2 linked regions of the Oryctolagus cuniculus genome follow. The protein of the gene in region 2 interacts with the protein of the main gene of each other region in a pairwise test. Links are inferred from orthologs where the notes say so. Each region holds a gene or a part of one and is shown on either strand. Other genes may lie near its edges.

Region 1 (6,818 bases), on a different chromosome or scaffold from region 2:
CACTCTCGCTGTGGTTCAAAGGACGGCCTGGGGCCGAGGCGGCACCAGGCGCGCTGCAGCCGCTCCACGGCCCCCAGCGGGAGACGGGGCCGCGCTGCACTCCGCGCCTGGGTCGGCTCTCCTAGCCGCCTCCCGGTGCTGCCCCGCTCGGGCTCCTAAATACTCCCCGGGAGGCCATGGCTCAGGGGGCGGGGCGCTCGGCTCCCATTGGTTCCCGTCGCAAGGGGCGGAGCGGCTGCGTCCCGGGTGGCCGCCAGAGGGGGCGCGAGCAGAGGGCCACTATCCCAAGGGCAGCGGTTGGGAATGCGGTTGGGAATCCGGCAAGAACGTCTCTAAGCTATTCGTGTTTGTTTATTTGAAGTAGCTTGGAAGGGTTAATGTACTGTGGGCTTTGAGTACCTTACGGTGGCCTGGCTGTGTAGGATCTTTCTGGAATCCGGGACCTCGGAGGGTTGGCTAAGCAGCAGGGAGATGAAAAGGCCAAAGGGTGTGCTAACGGATGGTCGGAATTGCCACACCCCCTGCTCCCTGAGACTCCTGTCTGGCCCCAAGCCTTCTCACTGCCCTTAAACCCGCCCCTCCCCAGGACAGAGCGAGCCACGTCCGTGCTCCTGGCTGACCCCTGCTTCCAGCTCCGCTCCATCAGCTACCTTCTGGGGCAACCAGAGCCCCCAGCACCTGGCGCTGCCCTGCCTGCCCCTGACCGGAAGCGCTTCTCCCTGCAGAGCTGTGAGTGGCCTAGGGCAAGACCAGAGACTGGGCGTGGTCTTCAGCCCCAAGAACAGCCGGCTCCCAGACTGGGACAAGGGAGGCACTAGGCTCCAGGGCCGTAGTGGGCCTGACCCCACCTCCTGCCCCCCAGATGCGGACTACATCAGTGCTGAGGAGCTGGCCCAGGTGGAACAGATGCTGGCGCACCTGACCTCCGCCTCCGCCCAGGCAGCAGCTGCTTCCCTGGTGAGTAGGAGCGCCGCACACCCACAGACAGCAGCGTCCAGCCCCAGCTGAGCCCGCCCTAACGCTCCCTCCTACAGCCCACCAGTGAGGAGGACCTCTGCCCCATCTGCTACGCCCACCCCATTTCTGCCGTGTTCCAGCCCTGTGGCCACAAGTCCTGCAAGTAAGTAGCCTCCAGGCATCTGCAGGTAGGGGCACAGGGACCCCGTGCAGCGCTCACCCCCGCCCCCCGCCCCGGTGTTGCAGAGCCTGCATCGATCAGCACCTGATGAACAACAAGGACTGCTTCTTCTGCAAAGCCACCATTGTGTCAGTAGAGGACTGGGAGAAGGGAGCCAGTGCCAGTGGTGCCGCCGCCGCCGCCGCCACCACCACCACCACCACCACCTCCACCTCCTCGGCTGCCTAGCCCACAGCATTCTGGAACCTCCACCCTCGGACCCAGACCCCAGGCTGGGCCCTATTTATGAGCTCCCCTCACCCTGCCACCTTCCCTGCCACCTCCAACCTCCTAGCCTGTGTGCAGTCTGATTGGTGGGAGCCTAGCCACGGCCCTAACTGTGCCTGAGCTGAACTAGGAGTCAGGGCCACAGCGAGCATTAAATTATTATTCCAGACAGCCCTGGCCGCGGCCCTTCTTCGGGGGAGTGGGCCATGTGCAGGGTGCCCAGTGGGGAGCCCGCGGAGAAGGCAGGTGTCCAACAAGCTCCGGTGGCCTTCAGTCCTCCCCCGCAAGTCCAGGGCCCTCACCCCGGCCCGAGGGCACGGCAGCTCGGCCTGCGGGGCCCTCACATGATGATGCGTGGCTCCGGCACCGACTCGCCGATGGACTTGTGCGGCAGCACGCTGGCCCCGTTGAGGTAGAGCTCGTCGTTGACGATCACGTCCTCGCCCAGCACAGTCACGTTCTCCATGCGCACCTCCGGGGGACAGAGCAGGCTGCGTCAGCCACAGTGCGTCCCCGCCCCTCCGCCTACCTGGCCCCACCCACAGGCTTACCCACTGGCCCACACGGCAGCGCCAGCCCACGATACAGGACTCGAGCCAGGAGTGCGAGCGGATGTGGGCGTCCCGCAGCACCGTGCAGCGCCGAATGCACACGCCGTCCTCCACCACCACACCAGGCCCCAGGCTCACGTTGGGGCCGATGCTGCAGTTCTGACCAATCCGGGCACTTGGGTCCTGAGGGCCACGGGGAAAGTGCAAGTGGGCCACCTGTCACCCAGGCCTGAGAGAACCGATAAGGGGCTGGGGGCCTAGCCCATGAAGCCACTGCCTGCAATGCCAGCATCCCATATGGGCGCCAGTCCGAGTCCCGGCTGCTCCCCTCCTTTCTTTTTTTCCCCCCTAAGATTTATTTATTGCAGAGGCAGAGGCAGAGATTTGTCTTCCATCCTCCAGTTCACTCCCCAACTGGCAACAATGGCTGGAGCTGGACTGGATGTGGGGCAGCCGGTACTCAAATCGGCACCCACATGGGATGTGGGCACTGCAGGAGGCGATGCCACAGTGCCGCCCCGGCTACTCCGCCACAGCCTGGGAAAGAAGATGGCCCAAGGGCTTAGGCCTCTGCACCCCCGCAGGAGACCCGGAGACGCTCCTGGCTTCCATCAGCTCAGCTCCGGCCGTTGTGGCCATTTGGGGAGTGGACCAGCAGACGGAAGACGTCTCTCCGCGTCTGCCTCTAACTCTGCCTTTCAAATGAATAAATAAATCTTTAACAAATTGACCAGCAGGGGCTGGGCAGGGAGCTCACCACGAGCACGTTGCCCACGATGCCAGGGCCCGAGCACAGGCGCTCGGGCTGCTTCTGCCTCAGCGACTGCAGGAAGAGGCACATCCCGGTGAGGAAGTCTTTGGGCTGGCCGATGTCCATCCAGAAGCCTGCAGGGACGGGTGCATCAGGGGGCTCAGCCCAGCCACAGACCACCCCCACCCTGTGCCTCCCTGCCTCACCCTGCAGCTCCATGGCATATAGCTGCCCCTCCTTGGCCATAACGGGGAAGACCTCCTTCTCAATGGACGTGGGCTGCAGCTGTGGGAGTGGGCAGCTCGTGAGCAGGGTCATGGCGCCAGGGGCCTGTCCCAGCCCAGCCCCCCAGCAGCTGTCCCTACACACCTGGATGCGCTGCAGCACGGCAGGGCTCAGGACGTACATGCCTGCGTTGATCTTATTGGACACAAACACCTGCGGCTTCTCCACAAAGCGGTGAATACGGCCTGTTTCAGCCTCACACACCACCACACCATACTTGGAGGGTTCCTCCACCTTGGTCACCTGAATACAGGGGGGCCCAGGCCTGGTCCAGCGTTCCTGAACCTGGACGTGCATGCTCTGATCTCTTCAAAGATACATGCTGCACAGCTCCATACCCGTAACGAAAGGAGGTGGTTCAAGGCTGGGCACGGGGAGAGGGAATGTTAGAGCAGGAAGACCTGGTCTCTTACCAGGATGGAGCCCTCCTGGCCATGGTGCCGGTGGAACTGCGCCATGGCTTGGAAGGGAAAGTCACAGATCACGTCACTGTTGAGGACGAAGAAAGGGTCTGCCGTCTCGGAAAGCAGGTCCCGGGCCAGGGCCAGGGGCCCAGCTAGGGAAACAGGACCAAGGTGCCGCCTTGTTAAGGCTCTGAACACCTGGACCAGGACTCCACCCAGGCCAGGTCTTTCCCTTTCCCGAAAGCTCTAAACCTTTCCCAAGGGGCTTCCTATCTGCACTGACCTGTCCCCAAAGGCTCCTCTTCATGGGACATGGAGATTCGGATTCCCAACTGGAAGGGAGAAATCACCTGGTCAACTTCTCCCTCAAGGTGGGAAGCTGGCCAGGCACTAAAGAAAAGGGCAAGAGTCAAGGCCTCACCCTCTGCTCCTGCGCCTTCATTTCCTTCTCCAACACCTGCGACATGTAGCTCACAGCTAGGATCACGTGGTCCACACCTGCCTGTTGGACAGCACAGCGGACAGGCAGGAGGGCTCAGCAGGGGAGGCACAGGCTCCCACCAACCCCTCCGCCGGTCCCGTCGCCAGCCATCTTTCGTCCCGCCTGGCCCAACCCTGTCCCCGGACCTCACCGCGGCAAGGGCCTCCACTTGGTGCAACAAAATGGGCTTGTTGCAGAAATCCACCAGTGGCTTCGGAGTGCTCAGCGTCAGCGGCCGCAGCCGTGTCCCATAGCCGCCCACCAAGATCAGTGCCTTCATCGCGCCTGCGGGCGACGGGAGACTCAGTCCCAGGAGCCAAGGCGGAGCGGCCCGCCCGGCCGTGCCCCGCCCCGCGCCCTCTGCCAGCCAGACTGACCGACTCTGGTTCCACCTGGTCCACTCTCCGCCGGACGCCAGGGCCGGGCCGCCACAAACCAGGAGCAAACGCGGAGCAGAGGGCCGCGGGCCCGGAACTCGGGCCGGACCCGGCGCGGCCAGTGACGTGTCCTGGAGCGCACCAATCAGCTGCCGCATACGTGGCACCGCCGCCGCGTCGGAGCGCCGGTCTGCGCCGCAGCAACCGACGTAGCCAATGCGAGGCTGAGCGCGCCGGGTTGCTATGGGGACCCACACGGGACCCAGCGGGTCAGCTCCTCATTGGCGGATCCAAAGGCGGAACTGGCGGCAAGGGCGCGGCCTCCTCCCCTATCCCTCCCAGCGTCCGCCGCGACGCAGCTGCACTCCCCCAGCCTCGGCGCGGGCGAGCGGGACGAGGATGGAGCCGGCGGCGGCGATGAGGCTGGCAGCCTGCTAGGCCGGTCTTTCCGGAAGCCACGAGGTTTTCACAAAGACGCGGGCACACTTGTTTCTAGCGGCTTTATTTGGACATACACGATCTCAGACACAAGCGGGGCGGGCAGCGCTAGGTGCACAGAAAGGGGCGGGCTCCGCCCAAGCAACCCCTCCCACACGCAGGGTCCCGAGAAAAAGCAACTGCGCCGAGCCGGCGGAGCCACGTGTCGAATGTGACGCAGGCCTCGGGAGGCGTGGACAGGCTGAGTTTCTATGAAAGCGCAGAGAGCGATTCCCCGAACTTCCCCCGGAGAAGCAAAGGAACTAAGTCCTTCCCAGGGTTCTCCGCTTTTTTCCCGTTAAAAATTTAAATCGACACAAACATAACCACATGGTAGGTACAGTTTTAAAGTTCAAAGCAATCTGCATCTAGGGAACGTGCACGTGGCCAGGTGTGAGCGCGTGAACAGCAGCTACAGAACTAGCGCAGGCCCCTGGCTTTTGCTGGGAATCCCCACGCCCATTGCACAGGCCCAGAGGGGTAGGGGCGGGGCCCCTGGCAAGTTGCTACACTGGTCCCCTTCCTCTTTAAGCACCACCATCCCATCCAATCCCGGGGGCTGGTGTCAGCTTGTCCCAGGAAAGCACTAGAGGGGTCACCTGAGGGCCCCAACCCATGATCCCACGTTGCACTTTGGTCCCAAATTGGGGCTGGGGAGACAGGGCCTAGCAGGGACAGGGAGAAGCAGCCCTGGCAGGAAGAGAATGTATGTGCACGCACACACCTCACCCCTAACAGGGCTGGCTGTCTGCAGGTGTCAAAGTGCTGAAGAGGTCCCTGCCCTGGGAAGCAGCAGGAGATTGCAGGCCCTTCCTCTTTAGTGCCAGGAAAACACTGAGTGTAAGTGGGGACAGCCTCCCTCGCTGTGAGCAGCAGCAGAACAGGGCAGAATCTGCTCCCCAATCTACAAACTGGGCAGTCCAGAGTGGCCCCAGACCCTCTGTCCTATCCCCTACCCTGCTAGGGAACGACTGTCTACACTAAGGAAGCCACAGAATGGTACAAGAGAGAAGATGGTCATTACAAACCAGAAACAGGCAAACTGCCCCTCCCAGGCCCAAGCAATGGGAACCTGCCCCATGGGCACCAGGGTCAGAGAGCGGGGGGATGGGATCCTTCAAGGAGCCCTCTCAAGAAGCTGCACTGCCAAGGACCACATCATCTTTCACTAACACAGGCCAGCAGGTTTACCTTCAACACCAAGACAGGGACAAAGCCCCAGGGGACGATGGTGGCCCCAGGTTTGGAGAGGGTGCTAACCTTGGCAATGGCTGAGTGCTATGTCACCTGGCCACCCGTGTCAGAGGCAGCAGGGAGACGACAAGGATGGGAAAGAAGGCTGGCTTCTTGAGCCTTCACTGCCCCAGTGAGTGCTAAGGCCGCCACGCTCCAGGCCCCTGGGGAGGCGCTCAGCCAGCGGGGAAGTGCCGTCTACAACCCGTCCTGTTACCAGGTCTCTGACACGCAGCACCTGCTGAGGAAGGGCACCGGCGTAAAAGCTAACCTCAGAAACGGCCAGGGAATCTTGCACTGAGGAGAGCATGAAGGAAATCAGTACACGCTGAAAACCGACGCTCCTCCCCAGGGGGAGCCTCCCGGAGACAGGGGCGGGTGGGTGAACAAATGGACAAACTGAGGGAGCCCAGGATCAAACACAGACATTCTCGTTAGCAGAATCTGGGCACCTGCACCCAGGGCCCAATGTCCCTATGAATAGACAAGCTTAAGGTTCTTCCTCTAGGCCCAGGAGCTGGGCTGCCTCCCAACAGGCTGCTGTCTTGAGCGTGGCCTGGGGGAAAGTGAGACCCTGAGTGGACCACAGCCCTTGTGCCCTGGCAGGAGTGGCCCACCAGAGGCAGCACAGCTACCCTAACTAGAGGCAGTGGCCTCCAACCCAAAGCAGGAAGCTGCAAATACTGTCAGGGCCAGAGTCACCAGAGACCCTGAGGCCAGCCCACAGAGCTGTGTCCCCTTCAGTGGGGCAGAAAGCAGTGGCCTCCTTAGGCAAGGGATCTCGGTGAGACAGGCTGGCCGGGGTTGCGGGCAGAGGAGGAGCAGGTTGGCCTGCCAATGGGTGCCTGAGGAAC
Region 2 (5,862 bases):
CCACGTGTGTCCGACAGGGCTGTCCTGCACCTCCTACGACGCCCAGCCCTTGGTGAACTCCCCGCGTGTGTTTTTAAAGGAGTTAACGTGTGCGTCTTGAATTTCCTCGGACAGATTACAACAGCAGTGAGCTGAAAACAGCCTGCAGGAAGCATGAGCTGTATGTGAGCTTCCAAGACCTGGGGTGGCAGGTGAGTACTAGCCGCGGCCATCATGCAGAACCTCCCAGGTGAGGGCTGTGATGTTTCCATCCGTCCCAGCCGTCCCAGGGGCCCAGGCTCCTGGTGCACTGAGCGTCCACTGACACCTTCTGGGCTTCCCAAGCTCTGTGATCCTTGAAAACCAATGCTCGCATTTCCCAGGACTCTTACCTCATTCATTCAAAGCCCACAGGACTTATGTTTATGTGGGCGTTTGCACAAATTTTAATAGTTTTGAGATAATGATGTAATAGTTAGCGTCTCCAGCGGCCATCAGTTGCCTCACCCAAACCATGCAGAAGAGCACAGAGGTTTTGCCCCACATGGCAGAGCCACCGCTAGTCTGTAAGCAGCAAATTAATTACAGGTGATGAGAGGTAGTAGTTTCTGTAGGCAAGTGGCAATACTCTGACAGGGGCACCCTGGGCTCCTGGAGGTCCTTTGGGTCCAGGCACCTGCGGGCTCCCAGGCCTAACGTGCAGGTAGCAGCTGAGGCTGTGTGGGCCCAGGAAAGGAGCAAGGGCTCCTGAGGCAGACTGACCAGGTCCACACAACTTTGCCACTTGCCTGTGAACTTGGGAAAATCTTCCCAAGCCTCCCTACGTGTCCACCACAAATTCTCACAGGGCTACAGAGCACAGAGGGTGTACGGAGGTGGGTCTATTCATCTTTTGTTGCTTCCTTGTTATCAAGGACTGGATCATCGCACCCAAGGGCTATGCTGCCAATTACTGTGACGGAGAGTGCTCCTTCCCCCTCAACGCACACATGAACGCAACCAACCACGCCATCGTGCAGACCCTGGTGAGCGTGCCCACGTGCCACTTTGCAAATGGGACCAAACCCAGACCAGGAGCCTTTCCTAAACGGTGCTCTTCCTGCTGCTGTTTCCTAACAGGTGCACCTTATGAATCCCGAGTATGTCCCCAAACCGTGCTGTGCTCCAACTAAACTCAACGCCATCTCAGTTCTCTACTTTGACGACAACTCCAATGTCATCTTGAAGAAGTACAGGAATATGGTTGTAAGAGCTTGCGGATGCCACTAGCTCACAGCCGTCTGCTGGGGACACGAAGTCCACTCTGGATTCCTGGGTGACAACTGCCTTACAAAGCATTCAGAACCACAGTGGAAGTGAGATAACTCTGAAACCCATCTCATGCTGGTGCCTTACTGCCCCACGGAAGGCTTGAAAGGACCTCACTGGTTTCGTACATAACGTGAATAGTCGAATGTTTCACAGGTTGAGGTCTGGCGACTGCAGAGACAGAACTTTGAAGAGCTCCCTGCCCCCGCAGCCCCCCAGAGTTAGCTGGAGCTCAGGCTGTTTGTGATGTTAGTGGGTAAGTAGGGAAAGCAACGTCGGGGAGAGTGAAAGCATCCTTGTCTCTGGTGTCAGCGGCTCAGTAGCATCTATCACAGGTTGGTTATGCAGGATGATGCAGGTTTTGCTCCCAGGAGGGTCAGTTCCCATGGGAGAAACAGCCCCACCTGTAGCCAGGTGCCTTTTGTCTCAGTCATGGCTGTTACATGGTTTGTGCTGTAGTTTGTATGAAAACAGACTTGACTTCAGCCAGAGCCCACCCCATCATTTCCACACCTCCACCCTCTCCCGCCTGTATTCTCAGAGACAGAGTACGCAGAGGTGAGGCGCGGCGCACTCACCGTGGCCCTCGCCTTAGCAAGCAGCTCTGCACCCCCTCTACATTGGCCTGCTACCTTCAGGAACGTCGGCTCTGAGCGCTGGTGCGTTAACGTGGTTCTGTGCCTGTTCCTGTACAGCCCATCAATGCTGTAGTTAGAACCGCTAAAGGAGACATCGAGAAGGGGCGCCTGGCCGTTAGGAAAGGGTTGGGGGTGCTGAGTGTGCTGTTTATAAACTGAAATCTGAAATCAGTTTCCTCTGGTAGAAAGCTAAGGCTCAGATTAAATCTTAGAATATTTTTAAAGATGTCTTTTTCACAATTCATGTACTGGGAAATCAATTTCATACTAAACTGATTAAATAATACATTTATAATCTATAGTTCTTTGCACTTACAGCTTTTTTTGTAAATAGGAACTATAATTTATTGTCTATTTTATATCCCTTTTGCTGTAACATGTAAGGAAAAGACTGGGCTTTGTTTTTTTTTAAAAAGTTTATTTAGAAAGTATAGTGTAAACAAATTGTACCACTTTGATTTTTCTTCCAATACAAGACTCATGATGCAAAGCCGAAGCCTTACCCGAGGCCTGGGCTTCTGGAGAAGGTTGGGTTTTTCAAGAGTATCTGTGAACCACACGTGATCAATAAAGATTCCCTGTAAGGCAGGGGCCGGCTCGAGATGCGGCTGTCCCCTGCCACGGCACACGGCGCCGGCGGCTGCTCTGTGGAGGCGGGCAGAGGGCACGGGCCACAGAGTGGCTCTTCCGAGAATGACTCGCTGGTAAAGGACAGGACAGGTCTGTATCTCACGGGAGCTCAGTCCTATGGCTGCTCACTTCCAGGGGGCAGGGAGGCGGCGGTGGGGGTGGTGACAGTTTAACGGCAGGATGACACCAGACCCAGGACACTAGCATCCATGACTGTGCACACCTGGGACCAGAACAGGCTGCCGGCTTCAGTCTTTGGTCTTGAGGTCAAAGGAATCCCCTCCTTCATCCGTCAGCCACCTCGTAGGAGGGAGGCAGGTACTGCAAGCCTCCGGGTCTCCCTGGGGGCCTAGGACCTAGGAAAGCAGCCATAGGACCAGACCCTCCCCGGGAGTTAACAGTTGGGACGGCGCCGCGCGGGACTGCCCGCGTGCACGCTTCTACGGAAGGCAGCCACTCTCAAGGCTCTCACGGTGACGTCGTCAACTCCTGAGCCCTTTTGGCCCCTGAGGAAGAGACGGGAGCATCCTGGAATGATACTAATGGACCAGACGGGTAGGAACGCATCGGGGGCATCACGGCGTTGGAACCCGCACCCTCAGGCACGTGTCAGGAGGACCCCTGCTTTCGCTCTGGCTAACCTCTTGTGGGGGGAGAGGTGTGGCACAGAAAATCCACTGGCAGCCACGGAGGTGTCTTCTGGGCGCGTGGGTTCTTCTTTCTCCCTCCGCTCCCGGCCTGACCACGTTTGTTAGTAAGTCGACGTCAATGGACGGTGACACTCGGATCAGCGGTCGCAGGCAGTCCCAGACACCGTGCTTTGGGGGATGCTTGCTTGCCACAGAATCACCCAGGAGCCGAAAACAGTCCAGTTATTTGCTTTTTCTCAATTCATTTTAGCCTCAAAGGATACGGTTTAATTTCATCAAGAGAAAGTTAGAAGGGGGTGTGTCGCCACTGACAGCAGCGAGTGTGCACAGTGACCCCGGGTTACACGGAGAAGGTGCCACACGGCCCGCGAACTTGGCCGTGACTCCCGGAGGCCGGCGCCTGCCCGCGGGGCTCCTAGAGCTCGTCTCTCGCCTGGCGCAGGACGAAGCCGTGCAGAGAGTCCAGGTCCCGGCCGCCGCTGTGCTCGCTCACTTGTTTTCCTCCCCGGAAAAGCAGCAACGTGGGGTAGCCTCGCACCTTCACGAAAAAGAAGAAAGGTCTGAAAACCCGTGCTCCCCATCGCTCTCTCACACGCTGCTCCTGCAGTTTAGGGGCTGGGAAACTCGGCGGCTCGTTTGCAAAGATGTACAGAGCATTGAAAAAAGACCGGAGAGTTCAGCAGGCAAAACCTCGGGGCTGCACGGTCGACTGAAGATCAGTACGGGAGGGATGGCGCTAGCCTCTCTCCATCTTTAAGGTGCATGGGAGAGGCAGGGGGCGGGGGCGGGGGCTCTGCACTCCTGCCCAGCGCCCTGGCCCAGCCCCACCGTGAGCTGCAGCAAGACTCTCACAGCGTGCACCAGGCAGGTGCAGCTCGCTTCCTTGGGCCTACTAACCCGACAGGCATCTACTAGTAAGTGAACCGCGTCTGTGTTACCTCCACCCTCCCTCCAGCGAGGGCATCAGCTCTAACAGGGCAGGGCGGGGGTGGGGGGATGCCATTTTTCCTCCAAGGGCCGTCTGGGTATTTATAACAGTCACAGACCATACGAAATCATCAACTTCTTAAACAATGAGCCTGCTACTTGCGACGCCTTGTATGTGACCTTACACAGCCCGTGGGCCAGGCATCACCGCCCCCCTCCCCACCTCGTGGCTCTACCACCTGCAAATCATCCCGGCCGTTAGACCAGGAAGACAGCTCGGCCCGTTCCGAGGGAAGTTTCTAAGTGTGTCTCTGCAGCGCAGCAGAGGGCAAGCCTCGAGAGCGCCCCCGGAGACTCAGGAGGAGGGTGGGCCCTCGGGGGAACCCTGCGTGTGTGCGCCCGCGTCTACTCACCGCATGCCTGCTGCAGATCTCCCGCTCAGCGGTACAGTCCACCTTGGCGATCTTGACCTCCGCCAGACCAGGGAACTCCTTCTTGGAGAGCTCCTCCCAGGTGGGAGCTAGGTTCTTGCAGTGGCCGCACCTAGAGAGAGAGCAGGGACAGCTCCGCTGGGGTCGCCGGTGCGGTCGTGCACCCACGCACCCACATGGCACTGCCCAGCTGCTCCGAGACGGCCTGCAGCGGTCACCAGGTTCCCGCTGTGCGCGTGCTCACTCCACCACCTCCCGCCCCAAGTCCATTTCCAGGTCACCTAGAGAAGCAAGCAAGGTCTGGGTTCTGAGCTGCTTTCGTCTGGTGAACAGAGCTCACTGGCTCCTGCATGCACCGGGAGCAGGAGAGGGAACAGATGTCCTAGCCCGCCGGCTTTCGGGCGCAGCGCGAGCTCAGGGCTTCCGTCTCGTGCGTTTCACACCTGCCCCCTGGCCCCCCTTTCTGATCCCTTCCCTCCGCGTGGACGGCTTCTCTCCTGTCTTCTTTCTTTATGCTTGATTGGTACTCATGTAGCTTTAGGGCTTGTGAAACCAAAAAATTAAGACTGCAAACTGGGGCTGGTGCCGGGTTCTAGTCCCGGTTGCCCCTCTTCCAGTCCAGCTCTCTGCTGTGGCCTAGGAAGGCATTGGAGGATGGCCCAAGTGCTTGGGCCCTGCACCGATCTGGCTTCAGATCGGTGTAGCTCTGGCCTTAGCGACCATTTGGGGGAGGGGAACCAATGAAGGAAGACCTTTCCGTTTCTCTCAAAAAAAAAAAAAAAAAAAAAAAAAAGGATTGCACACTGCACGGCTCATTTGAGTCACTGTTCTCGGTTGTTGCGGCTTCTCACGGATACCCAGCCTGAACTAAGCTCAAGGCCTACAGTGATGCGTAACCTCGGCCCGTCTACACAAGGAGGACCATTCCCCTCAATGCCCTGTGTGTCCAAATGGACCTGCTGTCTTCCCACCAGCAGCCGGTCTGGGTCTCGGACCTGCACCGTCCATTCATGCTCCCAGGACCACGTGGTGGGAGGGATCGAGCACTGGGTCACGTACCGAGTGGCTCCCAGAGAAAGCTGAGCTCCGCTGGCCTGCTCTGCACCACTGCTGAACGGACCCGGAAGAGCTAAGCTCTAGCCTGATGTGCGTGGCTCTCCCCAACAAAGATTTGGAGAAAGTACAAACGTGTGTCTGACTGTCGTACTTCACTGCTATGTGCGTTCTCTCCAAAGCAGAAGGGGCTTTAAAATAACCCCTCTACACGTAATTGCGAACGAGGCCCCCGAACCTCAACGC

The links.
Region 1: the proteins of TXNDC5 (region 2) and GMPPB interact in a two-hybrid assay, tested with the Homo sapiens proteins (2 studies listed by BioGRID and IntAct). The two-hybrid records come from large-scale screens. The link is inferred for Oryctolagus cuniculus from reciprocal best matches to the Homo sapiens genes TXNDC5 and GMPPB.

Annotation. Positions count from the first base shown.
Region 1 is NC_091441.1:99,538,858-99,545,675, reverse strand, and holds GMPPB (mannose-1-phosphate guanylyltransferase catalytic subunit beta), read right to left. Parts: upstream 4,414-6,818; 5' UTR 4,255-4,413; intron 4,163-4,254; 5' UTR 4,158-4,162; coding exon 4,029-4,157; intron 3,899-4,028; coding exon 3,818-3,898; intron 3,729-3,817; coding exon 3,680-3,728; intron 3,549-3,679; coding exon 3,406-3,548; intron 3,236-3,405; coding exon 3,077-3,235; intron 2,993-3,076; coding exon 2,914-2,992; intron 2,842-2,913; coding exon 2,714-2,841; intron 2,140-2,713; coding exon 1,957-2,139; intron 1,897-1,956; coding exon 1,435-1,896; 3' UTR 1,367-1,434; coding exon of another isoform or gene 1,204-1,366; 3' UTR 1,121-1,203; coding exon of another isoform or gene 1,035-1,120; 3' UTR 958-1,034; coding exon of another isoform or gene 863-957; 3' UTR 730-862; coding exon of another isoform or gene 587-729; 3' UTR 334-586; downstream 1-333. Other genes in the region: E3 ubiquitin-protein ligase RNF123, read left to right, coding at 587-729, 863-957, 1,035-1,120, 1,204-1,366. UniProt on the Homo sapiens protein: Catalytic subunit of the GMPPA-GMPPB mannose-1-phosphate guanylyltransferase complex. Catalyzes the formation of GDP-mannose, an essential precursor of glycan moieties of glycoproteins and glycolipids. Can catalyze the reverse reaction in vitro.
Region 2 is NC_091436.1:162,675,658-162,681,519, reverse strand, and holds the end of TXNDC5 (thioredoxin domain-containing protein 5), read right to left. Parts: intron 4,676-5,862; coding exon 4,546-4,675; intron 3,744-4,545; coding exon 3,621-3,743; 3' UTR 2,323-3,620; downstream 1-2,322. Other genes in the region: BMP6 (bone morphogenetic protein 6), read left to right, coding at 115-191, 894-1,004, 1,099-1,248. UniProt on the Homo sapiens protein: Protein disulfide isomerase of the endoplasmic reticulum lumen involved in the formation of disulfide bonds in proteins. Can reduce insulin disulfide bonds.